Linked DNA regions of Coturnix japonica. The protein of the gene in region 1 interacts with the protein of each later gene in a biochemical or structural test. Links are inferred from orthologs where the notes say so. Each region holds a gene or a part of one and is shown in the gene's direction. Other genes may lie near its edges. The genes, in order: STAT3, PTPN1 and MAPK8.

What was found.
Region 2: of the proteins of STAT3 (region 1) and PTPN1, one has a biochemical effect on the other in vitro, tested with the Homo sapiens proteins (2 studies listed by BioGRID and IntAct). The link is inferred for Coturnix japonica from reciprocal best matches to the Homo sapiens genes STAT3 and PTPN1.
Region 3: of the proteins of STAT3 (region 1) and MAPK8, one has a biochemical effect on the other in vitro, tested with the Homo sapiens proteins (2 studies listed by BioGRID). The link is inferred for Coturnix japonica from reciprocal best matches to the Homo sapiens genes STAT3 and MAPK8.

Annotation. Positions count from the first base shown.
Region 1 is NC_029542.1:4,515,301-4,520,122, reverse strand, and holds part of STAT3 (signal transducer and activator of transcription 3), read left to right. Parts: intron 1-1,393; 5' UTR 1,394-1,412; coding exon 1,413-1,540; intron 1,541-2,022; coding exon 2,023-2,167; intron 2,168-2,304; coding exon 2,305-2,403; intron 2,404-2,678; coding exon 2,679-2,774; intron 2,775-2,867; coding exon 2,868-2,949; intron 2,950-3,378; coding exon 3,379-3,473; intron 3,474-3,679; coding exon 3,680-3,831; intron 3,832-4,269; coding exon 4,270-4,428; intron 4,429-4,552; coding exon 4,553-4,645; intron 4,646-4,822. UniProt on the Homo sapiens protein: Signal transducer and transcription activator that mediates cellular responses to interleukins, KITLG/SCF, LEP and other growth factors. Once activated, recruits coactivators, such as NCOA1 or MED1, to the promoter region of the target gene.
Region 2 is NC_029535.1:12,141,046-12,145,867, reverse strand, and holds part of PTPN1 (tyrosine-protein phosphatase non-receptor type 1), read left to right. Parts: coding exon 1-37; intron 38-94; exon of another isoform or gene 95-893; coding exon 894-1,103; intron 1,104-1,415; coding exon 1,416-1,577; intron 1,578-2,144; coding exon 2,145-2,380; intron 2,381-3,298; coding exon 3,299-3,506; 3' UTR 3,507-4,822. UniProt on the Homo sapiens protein: Tyrosine-protein phosphatase which acts as a regulator of endoplasmic reticulum unfolded protein response. Mediates dephosphorylation of EIF2AK3/PERK; inactivating the protein kinase activity of EIF2AK3/PERK.
Region 3 is NC_029521.1:15,675,814-15,681,127, forward strand, and holds the start of MAPK8 (mitogen-activated protein kinase 8), read left to right. Parts: upstream 1-2,083; 5' UTR 2,084-2,194; intron 2,195-5,314. UniProt on the Homo sapiens protein: Serine/threonine-protein kinase involved in various processes such as cell proliferation, differentiation, migration, transformation and programmed cell death.

The DNA of each region.
Region 1 (4,822 bases):
GGGGCTGATTCCCCTTTTTCTCCTCTAAGAACTATCCACAGAAATAGAGGAGGGGTCGCATACAACAAACACCAGCTGCTCTGGGGGGGACCCGGGGCACAGAGCTGTGGCCCCCACATCTCCCCCCCAGTCAGTGCCCATCTCCAGTGCCTCTGGGACAGCTCTGGTGTCAGCCATGTGCCAGCCCTGTGCCTCCTGCTGACGTGTCACTTGCTGGGGTTGCCTGCAAAAATCAAACCACTTTCTGGGGGAAGTGAGCCCGTGGTGAGGCTCAGTGGTGCTGCTGTGTCTGTGCTTCCTGCACAGCTTGCTGTCGCTCCTTCGGCTGACTCTGACTCCTATTGATGTGCGAGCCGCTCACTTGAAAATTGCTCCTTCCTCGTTTCTGTTGCTTCCTGGCAGTCTCCGCCTTCCGCACTTACTGTAAGCGCTGCAGCTCCTTCCCTGCCCTCGGGAGCAGGCGCAGGGCTGACTGCGGGGCTGCGGAAGGGGCTGGCAGCAGATCAAAGCCCCGGCCCCGCTGCTGTGACCTGCATGCCCGAGCCTTTCACTCTTCCCCCGGGCACGAAGGTAGGAAAGCTCTGGGAAATGGTGCCTCTCTAGGAGGAAGTTTATCCGAAGGCAGGTGCTTGGGAAAGGTTTTTTTTCCAAGGAAACCGAGCGAGGCTTTGTGCCTGTCTGTGTCTGTGACCATTCTGGGGGTTCTTATGGCTGAGGTCCTGCTTAGGAATGGGAGAGGCTGGAGCTGGGCAGCCAGACACACTGCTCTGCTCTCAGATGTTTTGGATTAACTTTGAAGGGAGGATGAGTCAGGATCCGGGTGTTCCTCAGCTCCAGCTGGGGCAGCGCAGTGGATCTTGCCCTGGTTTTGGGTACATTTCCAGCCTGGAGCCCTGAGCAGTTGCATGCTGACCAATCTGCTGCCCACACCGACTCGTGCCCATTAGTCCCTCAGTGGCAGTGTGCTTTGGGTCTGTGGTTCCACCTCCTCTCAGCACAGGTGACAGTGATGGCAGCAGTGCTGAGCTGGGAGCTGACAGCTGCTTGTTGTGGGAGGGTTTCCTCACTGTAGCTCGGCTGGGAGCTGGAGGTCAGCGTTGTCCCGGGGCTCATGGCAGGGCAGAGCTTCCTGCCTCTGGATTGTTAATGCAGGAGAACTGGAGCTGGCTGTTGGCTGCGTGCTGAGCATCAGGTGGTGAGGGCAGGTGGGCAGGCAGCCCTCTCGCTGCTGGATCAGTGCAGAGCTCAGCCCCGTGGGCACAGCCCAGCGCACTGCAGCCTTGTAGCCCTTCCCTGTTTCCCTTCCCAGGGTCAGCCTGAGCCAAGCCGTGTGCTGTGCAGGGGGGCAGCCTGTGGGCTCAGGGGCGCTGTGCTGACCTGCCTGTCCCTGCAGGGTTCCGGAGCCGGCCAGGATGGCGCAGTGGAACCAGCTGCAGCAGCTCGACACGAGGTACCTGGAGCAGCTCCACCAGCTTTACAGCGACAGCTTCCCCATGGAGCTGCGGCAGTTCCTGGCCCCGTGGATTGAGAGCCAGGACTGGTAAGGCACTGCCCAGCTCTGGCACATGACTGCACTTGGGACCCCCAGCTGGGGACAGCGGCAGGTGCCAGGCGGCTCTGGAGGGACTCTGCCAGCTTCTCTGGGTGCTGGGTCTATTCTTCCTCCTTGCGTTGCATGCAGTGTGAAATGGAGTGGGAGTCTGTGTGTTTGGTGTCAGACCTCAGACTGGGAGAAAGGGGAAATCCACAGCAGAGGTGTCAGGGTTTACGTCAAGCTCTGTTCTAAACAAGGTTGGAATTGAGGTGCTTGTGCCTGCTGTCTTCCAGCATCTGAAACACCTCTGTCTCCCTGCTCTCATGGGAGCAAGGCCAACTGTGGCTGCATCCTGATGTAGGTTAGGCAGTCACTGGGATGCTGGGCTGTGTGTGGGGCAGCAGGTGTTCACAGAGCTGCCCTTCCTGCAGCACTGTGCTGTGCCTCCCCTGGGCTGGGTGTAAGGGCTCTGCTGTCTCCTCATGCAGGGCATATGCTGCCAACAAGGAGTCACACGCCACGCTGGTGTTCCACAACCTGCTGGGGGAGATTGACCAGCAGTACAGCCGCTTCCTGCAGGAATCCAATGTCCTGTACCAGCACAACCTGCGGCGCATCAAGCAGTTCCTGCAGGTGAGGTGGGAGGCAACATTCTGTTACTGAAGTGCAGTGGCCTCCTTGTCACAGCTCACAGATCCAGCCCTACAGCACACAGAGATCCCAGCAGTTATAGTTTGAAGGCTAACCCTGAGGCCTTCGATGTTTTATAGAGCAGATATTTGGAGAAGCCGATGGAAATAGCCCGCATCGTGGCTCGCTGCCTGTGGGAAGAGTCACGGCTCCTCCAGACAGCTGCCACTGCAGCCCAGGTAGGTGACTCAGGTGTCCCTCTGCCCACCCAGCAGCTCTGCAGAGCTTGGTGCCATCAGGAAGCTCTGGTCTGAAGCTTCTTACATGTTTCTTTCAGCAATGGTAGTTCAGAGGGGTGCTCAAACTGCAGTGAAGGGCAGATGACCCCCAGCTCTCTGGGGTGCATCAGTGCTCTGCGCTAAGTTTGTTTGTTTGTGTAGTAAAGGGTTTGACTTTATGCAGAACTTCCTGAGTTACAGCCCAGTTCTGATGCCCTCCTTTGTCCCTTCTACAGCAAGGGGGACAGGCGACACATCCAACAGCAGCTGTAGTGACAGAAAAGCAACAGATGCTGGAGCAGCATCTGCAGGATGTAAGGAAGAGAGTTCAGGTAAGTGCTGCCTGGGCACCTTCTTCCCCTGGTACTTCTAGGAGTGCTGTGGGGATGTTGTACTTTGAACAAATCCCATCTCTTGCATTGCAGGATCTGGAGCAGAAGATGAAAGTGGTGGAGAATCTCCAGGATGACTTTGATTTTAACTACAAGACTTTGAAAAGCCAAGGAGGTATTAAAGCTCATTAGCATCTGGCAAGCCAAAGTGTGTTCCTGCAAGGAAACATGCCGGAGGGTGTGTTCCAGCCCTCCCAGTGCCTCCTACCCAAGCTTGAAGGGTGGGTTAGTGTTAGGGCATTTGCATGGCAATTGGAGATAGTGACAGAAACAAAAAGAAGCTGACAGGGCCTGCAGGGGATCCAAACCTGAGCTTTGCCTGTGGAAGGAGAACTGCATGAGAAGGTGATAATGCTGCTGTGTATGCAGAAATGCCAGAAAGGTGCTTGGAGGCAGAGCTGTCAAAGGCTGAGATCACTGCTTAACTACTGATGGCTTCCTAGAATGTCTGCTCATTTGTAGTCAGCTTTGTGGTCTTTGTGATGTTTGGGAGGGTAGGAGGAGTGCATTTGTTTGGCTGAAGCTTTGTGTCCTCTTTGCACAGATATGCAGGATCTTAATGGAAACAATCAGTCAGTGACACGTCAGAAAATGCAGCAACTGGAACAGATGCTCACGGCACTGGACCAGATGCGAAGGGTATGTCACGCTACTGGCCTTCCAGATCCCTCCAGGGTATAGGTGTGCTCTTATTCTGGGATATGGATTTGATAGTCATACATGGGTATAATTAGAAGAGCAGCGCTGGCAATAAATCAGCGGGCAGCTCCACTTCTTGTGATCATGAAACTTATGGGACATGGAGGGAGTCAGAATGCTGAAGGTCCTGCTTTCTCGTTTGGCAGGGTATTGTGAGTGAGCTGGCAGGACTGCTGTCAGCCATGGAGTATGTGCAGAAGATGCTGGCAGATGAGGAGCTGGCAGACTGGAAGAGACGGCAGCAAATTGCCTGCATTGGTGGCCCTCCAAATATCTGCTTAGACCGGCTCGAGAACTGGTAAGATTGCACTGGACCCTGGAGAGGCAGAAATCAAATGCCAGCACCAAAAATGAGTTCTCTGCCATTGGCAACGTCTTTGCTAAATGGCTGCTGATGCCTGCAGGTGTAAATGTAATCTGATAGCCACCCTTATACTTGATAGTGGACAATAATGCTGGATTCATTAGCTCCAGGTTTGTGAGATTGTAAGGCTGGTGGCTTGCGTGGCTGTTCCTGTGCCCTTGGTTGGTATAACGGCTCAGAACGTTGGCTCATGCAGGTTTCTTTCATAGTCTGTGGCCTAGAAAAATGCACTACGGACATGTTCTGTTCTGTGCTGGTTTGGTACAGTGAATGTCCTCTCTTGCAGAAGTGAGGGGAGGAGGAGGGCTCTGTGGGCAGGGACTGTGCAGGACTTGGCAGCCAGAGCTAATGCTGGTTCTTCCTGCTCCCTAGGATAACCTCTCTTGCTGAATCACAGCTACAGACCCGGCAGCAGATCAAGAAACTGGAAGAGCTGCAGCAGAAGGTGTCCTACAAGGGTGACCCAATTGTCCAACACCGGCCAATGCTGGAGGAGCGGATTGTGGAGCTGTTCAGGAACCTGATGAAAAGGTGCCTGGGGCTGAGAGGGAGCTTGTGACCTGTTCCTTGGTTACAGGTAGTGCATGAAGGGGTGAGCACTGTGTGCTGGGGTGGGGCTGAGGTTTGACTGCATTTTATTTGTCTTCTCCTACAGTGCTTTTGTGGTGGAGAGGCAGCCCTGCATGCCCATGCATCCTGACCGGCCTCTGGTCATCAAAACCGGTGTGCAGTTCACCACCAAAGTCAGGTGGGTTGCTGGCCCCTGCGATTCCTCTGTGCAGGGGAGGAAGCCATGCAGGGCAAATGCAGCATCTGTCTCCAAGGAGGAGCTGGTTCAGATGCAGTCTTCAGTTTGCCCAGGGAGTGCTGGAGCTGGGAGGGAATGGCTCACTGCAGGCTGGCCCCGCTGGAGTGCAGCCTGGGT
Region 2 (4,822 bases), on another chromosome or scaffold:
TTACACAGTACGACAACTAGAATTGGAAAACCTTACAGTAAGTACAGAAGTTTCTACCAGCCATGTTCTTTAATCACTCTGAGGTGAGACCCACCTTGTCACTAAGGTTATGAAAAAGACCGGTGTGAAATACAGCAGATTTTGTGCTGGAATCGATGATTCTGTATCAGATGGTTTTGTATCAGATGTTTGGTATTGGAGCATTACTCTGGCAGAGAAGAAAGACAAGAACAGTCATTCAGAGCAGTAACACCTGATGGAAAGTTCCTGAGTGAGGCTGGCGAGGAATATCACCATTCACTTTCACTGAATGTGGGTAACTGAAGATAATGTCTGAGGTTCCCAGCAGTGCTGAGTGTGGATGTTGTGGCATTCTAGCCACAGTTCTGTTCTGCCCACAGACTGCTCAGTACTGGAAGGTAATCGATATTTGCTCAACTGTGAGCATCTTGTGCCAGGAAATGTGAGAAAGCAGATACAAATTTGGTTGGTTGAGTGACAGCAGAGTAAGGATTTGGCTGTTGCAGTTTGCTTGGTGTACTAAGAGGTCTGTCTGCCCTTGGCATGTTTTGGATGGTTGTACCTCAGCATTGTACAGGATGTGAGCAGCAGTGAGTCAGTTGTCATGGAAGAAATGTTCGAGATTTGGAATAAGGTGTAAAGGAACAACCTGTGATGGTGTGTTTGTCTGCAGAAAGTGGAAGGGGCTTCTGTAGGTTGCTGTACACCATTCTGAGAACTGTAGGAGAGTATGTAGGAAAGTGTTTGCTAGGAAAATGAATGTGTGAGGGATTGTATTTGCTCATTTGAACATTGTTGTAAGCAGCTGTAATTCGAATAGTTGCAAAACTGTGTATCCAGCTGAAAGACTTCATAAGCACTGTCTTTTACAGATGCAAGAAACCAGAGAGATTCTGCACTTTCATTATACTACGTGGCCTGACTTTGGAGTCCCAGAGTCTCCTGCTTCATTCCTCAATTTCCTGTTCAAAGTGAGAGAATCTGGCTCACTTAACCCCGAGTATGGACCTGTTGTGGTGCACTGCAGCGCAGGAATTGGCAGATCAGGAACTTTCTGTCTGGTCGATACGTGTCTTCTGCTGGTAAGATCTGCTGTGGAGATGATACGCTGTTTCAGTAGAGTTCCCTTGAACAGTGGTTTCTTCTGGCCTATGAAGAGCTGTGGTGTTTTCTGTGGAGTATTTTTGCACGTTATTTCTCTTATCTTACTCATATTCTAGTTTAAGACAGTCTTTCATTTTAAAACTAAGGTAGTGCAATCTTCCATTTCTGTGTTTTTTCTTAGTGTATTAATTCTGCAATAGGTAGAATGGTCTGAAAGCTGTTCTGTGAAGCCAGTCATCGTATTGAATCTCATCAGAGCATAAAGTGTGTTCCAAATTTTTTATCTTCAGATGGACAAACGGAAAGATCCTTCTTCTGTGGATGTTAAACAGGTTCTCCTAGAAATGAGGAAGTACAGAATGGGACTTATACAGACAGCGGATCAGCTTCGTTTCTCCTACTTAGCTGTAATTGAGGGGGCAAAATTCATTATGGGGGATGCTTCAGTGCAAGTGAGTATTATGGACTGTGGAACCAGATGTATAGTAAGCTGCAACGCGTTTTTTAACTGTAGCATAAGAACAAAACGAGCTTTAAATTCCTTTGGCTTCAATACATTTTTATATTATGCAGTACTAAAATACAACACCTCAGAATACTTCCTGTAGTCCTGTAGACTAATAGGTGGTGCCTGTGTACTTTTCAGCACCGTAACTGGGGCGTAGATTGGCTGCATCTGCCATGTCTTTCATCAGCTTTCTAAGAAGGCAGAAATTTAAGTACTGCAATTAATTCTTACAGCAGAACTAGCAACATAGGTTCTATTTCATGCTATTTAAAATTTCCAGATGTAGATTAAAATTTCTTCCTTTTATAGCTGATGTCTTCAGTGTACTGCAGATAGCTTAGATTTTGTATTATTTTTGTGTCTCTTTTTTCCCCTTTTTTTCAATGCAAATGAACAGGCATGCTAAAAATAAATGAGAAGGTAGAGTGTAACACCCCTGCCAACTTAAAGTTACAGTAGTTTACATAAAATAAACAGTGGAAAACGTAACAGGGCATTTCCTTCCCTGAAGGAACAGTGGAAAGAGCTCTCCAATGAAGATCTGGACCCACCACCTGAACATACCCCACCTCCTCCCCGACCACCAAAGAGAACCTCAGAAATGCACAATGGAAGGATGCACGAACATGCAGAATTCTTTCCTAAGCATCAAGTGGTAGAGGAAGAGATTAGATCCTCAGTCAGCACTGTTGAAGAGATGGTTCCAGATGGCAGAGGTTTTTCATCTGTGCCACTGATCACAGACAGGTAATTAATTTAGTTTCCCACTTCAGCTTGTTCATAAATGGCATTTCATATGGAAAATCCTGAACAGACGCTGACTGAATTAGTATAACAGCAGTTCCAAAACAAAGTCTGTGCATATTTTATGGAAAAGTTCTTCAGCATTTTTTTTAAATCGAGATCCTGCTGTAGTGAGAGAAGTGGCAGCAGAGCAAGGTGGCTTAGTCTCAGTTTACATGTGATGTGTACGTTACATTCAGTTACACAGGAGCTCTTTCACTGGAGGTGGAGCTGAGAGCTGGGCGGATCAGCTTTAGCTGCACTTAGAAATGTGAAATTAATCCTAAGCAAAGCTGGTTTTGATGAAAGGAGTAGAAGGGGCTCACGAACAGAGAACTTTTCTACCTGTCATTGCAACCTCAATTGTCAGGTGTGACAAACACACAGAAGTGCTGTATGACTGTGACCTGTTGGCCACTAGATGGCCCTCCTGCTCCATCCGAGTGGTGTAGAGCTGGTTAACTCATTTCTAAATTCAGATGGAAGTAGCAATGCAGCAGATCTGAAAGTTAAAGTTAATAAGCCTCTCTATATTTCAGTATACTATCAACATGATGGAGGTCTTTATCTAGAAAAAACGCATTAAATCGTATTAAAGATGGAGAAACCTTCAGTTCCATCATTAAAAGCCATCACAGTGCTCCTGGCCACTCTTACAATAGTACAAACCAACCATAATTTCAGCACTTTCTGACTCTTTGAGCAGCTGATTTCAGAACCTTGTTCTCCTCAGCTGGATGCAGGTTGGCCCTTTCTTGTCTCAGTGGCTGCAGAGACAGCAGATTTAGGATGAGCAGTGGAAGTAAGAGGTGGTTAAGGTTGGGTCAGCTCATTCTTTAAAGGGAAAATCCAGCACTGAACGTTTATTTATTTGTCCTTAAGCACTAGTCAAGACACTGAAATTCGGAGGAGAACTGTTGGTGAAAACCTGCACGTCTCAGCACACAGAGAAGAGTCGATGAAGTCAGAAAGCATAGAAGAGGATGATGAGAACATGATGACAACTTGGAAGCCGTTTCTAGTGAATATATGCATGTTCACCTTCCTCACAGCAGGAGCTTATCTGTGTTACAGGGTATGTTTTCACTGATGGACATGCCAGCACCACTGACCCCGCAAAAAACACCAACAATTTGATCGGTTTGTAATAAGCTTCTGTACAAGAAAGCTCCTTGAGGCACGTGAGCCTCATCTCCGCAGAGGCTCTTAGGTTGAAAGGCCAGAACTTTGGGCTTAAAGAGAGAATTGATGCACTAGGGTTTTACTTAGCCCTGTGGTCCCAAGAACGTGATATTCTGATCTCAGGGCCTTAAAATATTCAGGAGTAAACAGAGAAAATGCCAAATAGTCTGTTTTTGTTTTTGTTTTTTGGTTGTTTTTTTTTTTTTAACTAAATAATAGAATTACAACACATTGTTGTTCTTAGCCTTTTTTAAAAAGCCAGTTCTTTTTCTTTTGTGTCTCAGAAAAGCCAGGCGCAAACAAAACTTGCTTGTACTCTCCAAGTGTTGTAGCCAAATACATCACTTACATCGATGAGTTCCCGAGAAAAGAAAAATAAACCCACATACCTGGAGAATGTAAACCTTTTGGAAGGGGCGGGGGCAGCTGCGGTTGGGTGGGTTTGGGGTTTGGTTTGGTTTTATTTTTAACTTGCTTCATCTGTTAAGGACTGAGTTGTGGGCAGTGCCTGTGGTATTGATGTATTTAATCTTGGCAAAACTTTTCTGAAAGAGCTTATTGTTTTACGTTGTTTATAGAAACAGGCTTCTGCATTTGCTCAGGGTATGTCAACATGTCCAGCTCTTTTTTTCTTTTTCTTTTTTAATATAAAAGAAATGTATCTTCTCATTGACTTTTGTTGCGCTCTACTTGCACATATACCTATTTACATTGCACCATCCTTTGTAAAGCTGTTTTTACATTTGTATTCTGGGTTAGGAGAAATTGAGGGAAGGGAAAGAAACAGGAAAGAAAGTTCAACCAAAATATGTCCACCAGCATTTTGAAGCTGTTCAGTTGGCATTCAGAAGGACCAGTTCATAAACCTCATCATTTGGAATGTAAGACGCAGTTTCACTGTACACCTGCTCCGTGGATAGCGTGCTTTCTGCCACAGCTGGGAGGTGATGTACTCAGAGGCACTGCAGGTAAGGAGCAGGAAAGCATGTCAAGAAAACCAGAGCCGTCAATGCTGTGGCAGCTTCCTTAAGACATAGAATGTTCAACAGAAGACATGTTGGTCTCAGAACGTATCAGCTGGCTTTTGATGCAAGCATTTGTGTGTTTTGCTTATTTTGAAGCAAAGATTTGAAATACTGGTGTAGTTTGGCTTGAAGATCTGCAGTTCAGTGACTGCTGGACACAGAGGTGTGTGTGGATACAGACTGCAGACACAGTTGTTGC
Region 3 (5,314 bases), on another chromosome or scaffold:
GATATTTTTGTTTATGAAACTTGGGTGAGATACTCAGATCCATTGACTCTGGATGTTTCAGCCTGAATTGTTTGTTTTACAGTTTGTAAGCATCAGTGTGTTATATCAGTGTTTACCATCAAGGCTGTGATAATTGATAAGAATTTAATGAAAATACTCAGAAATGATCAAGCTACATTCCTAATGCAATTTAATGACTGCTGAATCTAAATGTTTTAATATGATGTTCATAAACATACCACTATACCTACGTATGGAAGCGAGAAAGGTTTCAGTATTTTGACATAATTCAGATTTTTCTGGCACTGTTTCTCTATAAAAATATTTATTAGACACTCGACAACCACATAATTTAGAGCAGCAATCCAAAGCCAAGACTAATGCTGCTTGGACAGCCAAACTGAGGAGTTAAAAAGTCACTTAGAAATACCTCTCTGTTAAAAAGTGCCAACTATAAAATCTTAATGAGATTTTGATTGCGACCTGAAAAATAAATGTGACAAATCTGAATCGTAAGCAAAGCACAGTTTTATACCTTAAAGGGGCTGACATCCTTCTTTACTTGCAAATCTTAATGTGGTCTTACCTCAAGATCAGGAGCAATAACCCACCCAAAAGACAAAGATTAACATCAGTGAACTGCAAGGCCACAAGCCTTGTTGCAAATACGATAGAGGCTGAACATGATTCTCCCCACCTAGTTCTTTCAGTGGAGGTTTGTTTGGTAACATAACCAAATAATATTATATAATATATAATTTACAATATTCTGCAAGTGAAGATGGGTATGATCTAAGACAGACTAAGCTGTGCTGCGTTGTCTGGGGTTTCATACTGCTCCTTCTGCCAAGCTGAGCTTTGCCTCTTTCACACATAAACACGGCAGGGAATGCAATGTCTGATCATGATCTAACATAATTCAACAGGAAGTCTCAAACCTGAAAGCTGGCTATGTCACTTCTGGGTCTGTCTCATGGAATGACAGGTGGTGAGGCAGGAGTGGCTACCTTGGTAACATGCTTACAGTGTAGTGGGATCCAGGGACACCTGGGAGCAGTCTGAACAACAGTTTTGTTTTATTTTGTTTTCCTATAAATTGTTATGTATAGGTCTATAGGGAACTGCAAAGGAACAACTTCTAACTTAAGGGGTTGAAATAGGATTGTTTGTATTGAGAATTTTAAGGTCAGACAGTGCAGATATTTCCATAAAATGGGAATGTGAGTAGTATACAGCTTTTGACATTATGACAGTGGGTAAGACTGGAACATCTGAAGCAGTATCCTTACTAGTTAAAAATCTATTTTTTGTTTCAGAGATGTGGAAAGACAATCTCACTGCATTATTTTGCATCTTCAAAAATGTGGCACAAGCCATTCCAATGTTTGACAGTAAGATGTGAAGCGTCCAATTCACTGTGCCCTGTGCCTAACTGGTAGATTTTATGTATTTTTAAAGACTCTTCCGGAGGTTTTATTTTTAGTACTACGCAGTGTAAGTATACAAAGGCTTGTTTCAGCCATATTGACATGACTTCAAGGTATGGAGTCTGTAGACAGGGGTATTGCTGGTTGAAAGGAGAAAAACAGAGGAGGGAAGGGAAAGGAAAGGAAGAATAACAAACAGAACATTGTAAAAACAAAGCAGAGCACCCATGGGAGGTGCCAAGAGCTAAAGGTGGTGGTAATAACTCAAAATCTCACAAATAGCTGCCTAAAGCTTAGAGAACAAACGGTGCCAAACCAGATACAGAAGATGTTACACCACTCCAGATACCCAGCAATGAGATAAAGCACTGCCATTCCAGATGTTCAGGGGGAAGGCTAGGACTGCCAAGGCCTTGCAGGATGTCTGGGAACACTAGGAAACGGAGGAGAGCATGAAGGCAAACACCTGAAAAACGCAGTTTTGTTACAGCAGGCCCGGGTACAGGGCATAATGCTGGGAAGGAGCAGGCACAGCCCAGCAGACACCAGACCGGGCTCAGCGGCAGCGCTGGCAGCCTGCAGCCTCCCGCAGGGCCCGTGCCCGGAGGGGCGGCTCAGGGGCGGCGGGGGCCGGGCCGGGCGTGCGGGCGGAGCGAGCGGAGGGGGCGGGCAGCCGCAGCCGCGCCGGGCGGACGAAGCGCGGTGCGTGTGCGCGGCCCGGCCCCGGTTCATTATTCAGCGGCCGAGGAAGGAGGCGACGGGAGGTGGTATGTGCGGTGCCTGGGGTTGAGGAGGGATGGCGGTGGCGGCGGCTGGGAAGCGGGGCTGGAGCCGGGCGGGTGTGCAGGGAGCGGCAGCGCTGCGGGGGCCGGGCCTGGCCGCTTTGTTTACGTTCCAGCGCGGGGCAGCGGGCCGGCAGCGAGCGTGGCGTGGCCCTTTTCTTCCTGCGGGGTTGTCTGCGTTCGTGACCTTCCCTGCGCGCCGGGCTCCGCTGCGGCCCGGCGGTGCGGGGGCTGCTGGAGGTGCCTGGGCGGATAATGGCGGGGGCCTCTTTGTTGATGTGACAGGAGGGGCAGCAGCCTCGGCGCCGGGCTCCTCCTCTTCCCCGGGCGGGGGGCAGCAGCCCAGGCCGTGGGCAGCTCTGGCAGCCCGGCCCTCGGTGCGGGGAGGTGCGAGCGCAGCCGTGCTCAGCCACCTCTGTGCTGAACTTCCATGACCTTGCTTTCAAAACGCCTTCTGAAGCAAAAAGCACTTCCCATAACTGCTCCGATTATAGGGCTTGGGGAAGGTGGGCAATGCCTTTGATTCTTTTGCCTTTTAGTTTTTGTAATCCTTGTAAAAACAGTGAGCTCTTTGCAATTTTTCTTTGCACTTTGTTTTCTCCATGTCATTATCAGCATCCAGTTTGGCTCCTGTAGCCTGCTTTCTTATGTTCAGTGCAGTGCTTTCACCAGTGAATCCTGGCCCAGGCACTGCTGATAACCCACAGATACAAGTCCCACTCAATTGTTTAGTTCCCCCAGCTATACATGTGGCATGGCTTTGAATTTCTGTATCATGCAGAGCAGGCTTGCTGAAGTCTTTCAGACAGTCCAAAAACCTTGTGTGTTTTGGCCTATCTGATAACACAAAAGGTGCTGTACTGGTTTGTGGAAGGTGAGTTTTGCTTGCCTCCTGGGCATGTGCTTGTAGCATTTAGCAAGCTTACATTACAGCTGGCTTCTTTGTATAGGTGTGGAGACTTGGCTGTAATGGCACACAGCTGAGCTGCTGAGACACAGCCTTGTTTCTGAAGATGCCAGCAGAGGTGCTTCTAGGGCAGAAGCACATGTAGAAGCGATAATGCACCTCACTGTATCTGTATATCTGCAGATATGTTGATAGATAACTTTGAACTAGTTCAGAGTGTTATTACATGAAGAGAATCTGGGCCCAACCTGGTTAAGGATAGTATCCAAGTGAGCTCACTGATGAATTTGAGTATTCCTTCTGTATAGTGAAGGGAAGCCCTTCCTTCAGCAGTAGCAAAGAAAAATGGGTTGTATTTTGAGTAGTCTTGTTCTATGATCTCAACATGTGGGGGAAGCCATCTTGTCATTCCCCACTTGATTCAAAGATGTGTAGCATGGGCTGGTTAGATAGGAGCAGTGATCATCCCACATCAGTTTCCTTTCTTTGCTGTAGCTTTTGCTCTGTGGTCTCAGTTTCCTCCCTTGAGTTTGAGTGCCAAGAAGCTCTGATGGGAATGTCTGGTTCTGGTAGAGTGCTGCAACACACGTGATGCCTGTACAGGCATCAGGCACATTCCAGTCTGTCAGATACTGGCAGTTTTCAGGGCCAACTGGCTGAAAGTGTGACAGGAGGGAAGAATCAAACGTTTATTGACAGACATTTATTAACACAGAGCTGAATCTGTGTGAAATCGTTGCCTTAACTTTGAACGGGAATGTTAACTGTGTCCTCTGCTCTCCCAAGCTTTTTTGACCAGGGGTGCCTCCACTTCACAAGATACAATATAATCTCATGAAGTGCCGTATACTTCATGGAGACTTCTTGATCAGCGACTCGGACAAAACCCGTTTACTGCGGTACTGAATTTTGTGGTTGGGGACTACTCGTTCTAGGTAGAAGTACAGCTGCCCTTTTGTATGTGTGGCTTTTGTGTTTTAACTTCCAGTAACTGAAAGCTCATTAGGGAGCAAGGCTTTAGCTGGCTGCGTGGGAGAGCAGATGTAACAACCTTCCAAATTCTTCAGGTAAACTTGTTACATTGTTTCCCTGTTACCAAACTACCGGGAATTGACCACGTGTTTGCGTATTTCATCCATTGAAGTCATTTTCTTCCACCAATGTACCAGAACTTGTTCCTTGTGGTTTCTTTCAGCTACTAACGGGTTATCTGTTCCTTTTATATTCCCTTTGTTGTTTTGGTTTGTCCTTTCTTCCTCAACCGCCAAATTATCTGAATGGCTATTCTTTAAAAGATGCATAGAAAGTACCTGCATACATACCTCTTCCTTTCTGCAGTTTTCTCCCGTGTTCTTGATAAATGCAAATCACTTTGATAGTCTGATGAAGAGTTTAGTATTCCATGCCTTAAACTTCATTCTCTTCCTCCTCTTTACCTGTGGGAGAACGTGCTGTGTTTACAGTGTTCTTAAAAAGTGTTATTTTAATGTAATTTTTGTGTTCAAGAAAAGTTTGGATGTTGTGTTGAGGGATATGTTTTAACTGGGAAATATTGGTGTTGGTTGGACTGGATGATCTTCTAGGTCTTTTCCAACCTTGATAATTCTGTAATTCTGTTTGTTTGTTTGTTTTTTCTACTGCTTTTCATCATAGATTTTTAATAAAGACAGAATATTTTCTCTCTGTAAATGTTTTCTTCAAACAAATAAACCCTGAGTTGTTCTTCATTCAAAACCTGCAGAAACAGAAATCTGTTTATATTATGGGAAGATCTCTTGGTCCTTGAAAGCTGTTTAAAAATCAAATTGAAACTACTTGTGTAGTTTTCCTGCTGTGAAGTTCATCAGAGCACACTCGTGGATTCTAGAAAATAATCTTTACATTGCTGAATTAAGCATCCAAATATGTAATTTCCAAATCATTTTCAATAAATGTCTTGTTTAGATCGAGGTGGGAATTTTACTTTTAAACCTGATAAAGGCTTTTGACTTTCCTTGAGGAAAGATAATTTTTTTGTGTTTTCTGTTTAAGGGGACATTGCTCCATGTGTATGATTTATTTGTATGAAAATACACAAATAGCCATTTTAACTCATGGATGTTATTTTTAACACTGACTGCAGTATCAGTGGACTGGTTGATAAAATCCTTGTTTTCAAAGCAATTACAAGTGTTTCTATTTCTGTAATGTCACACCAT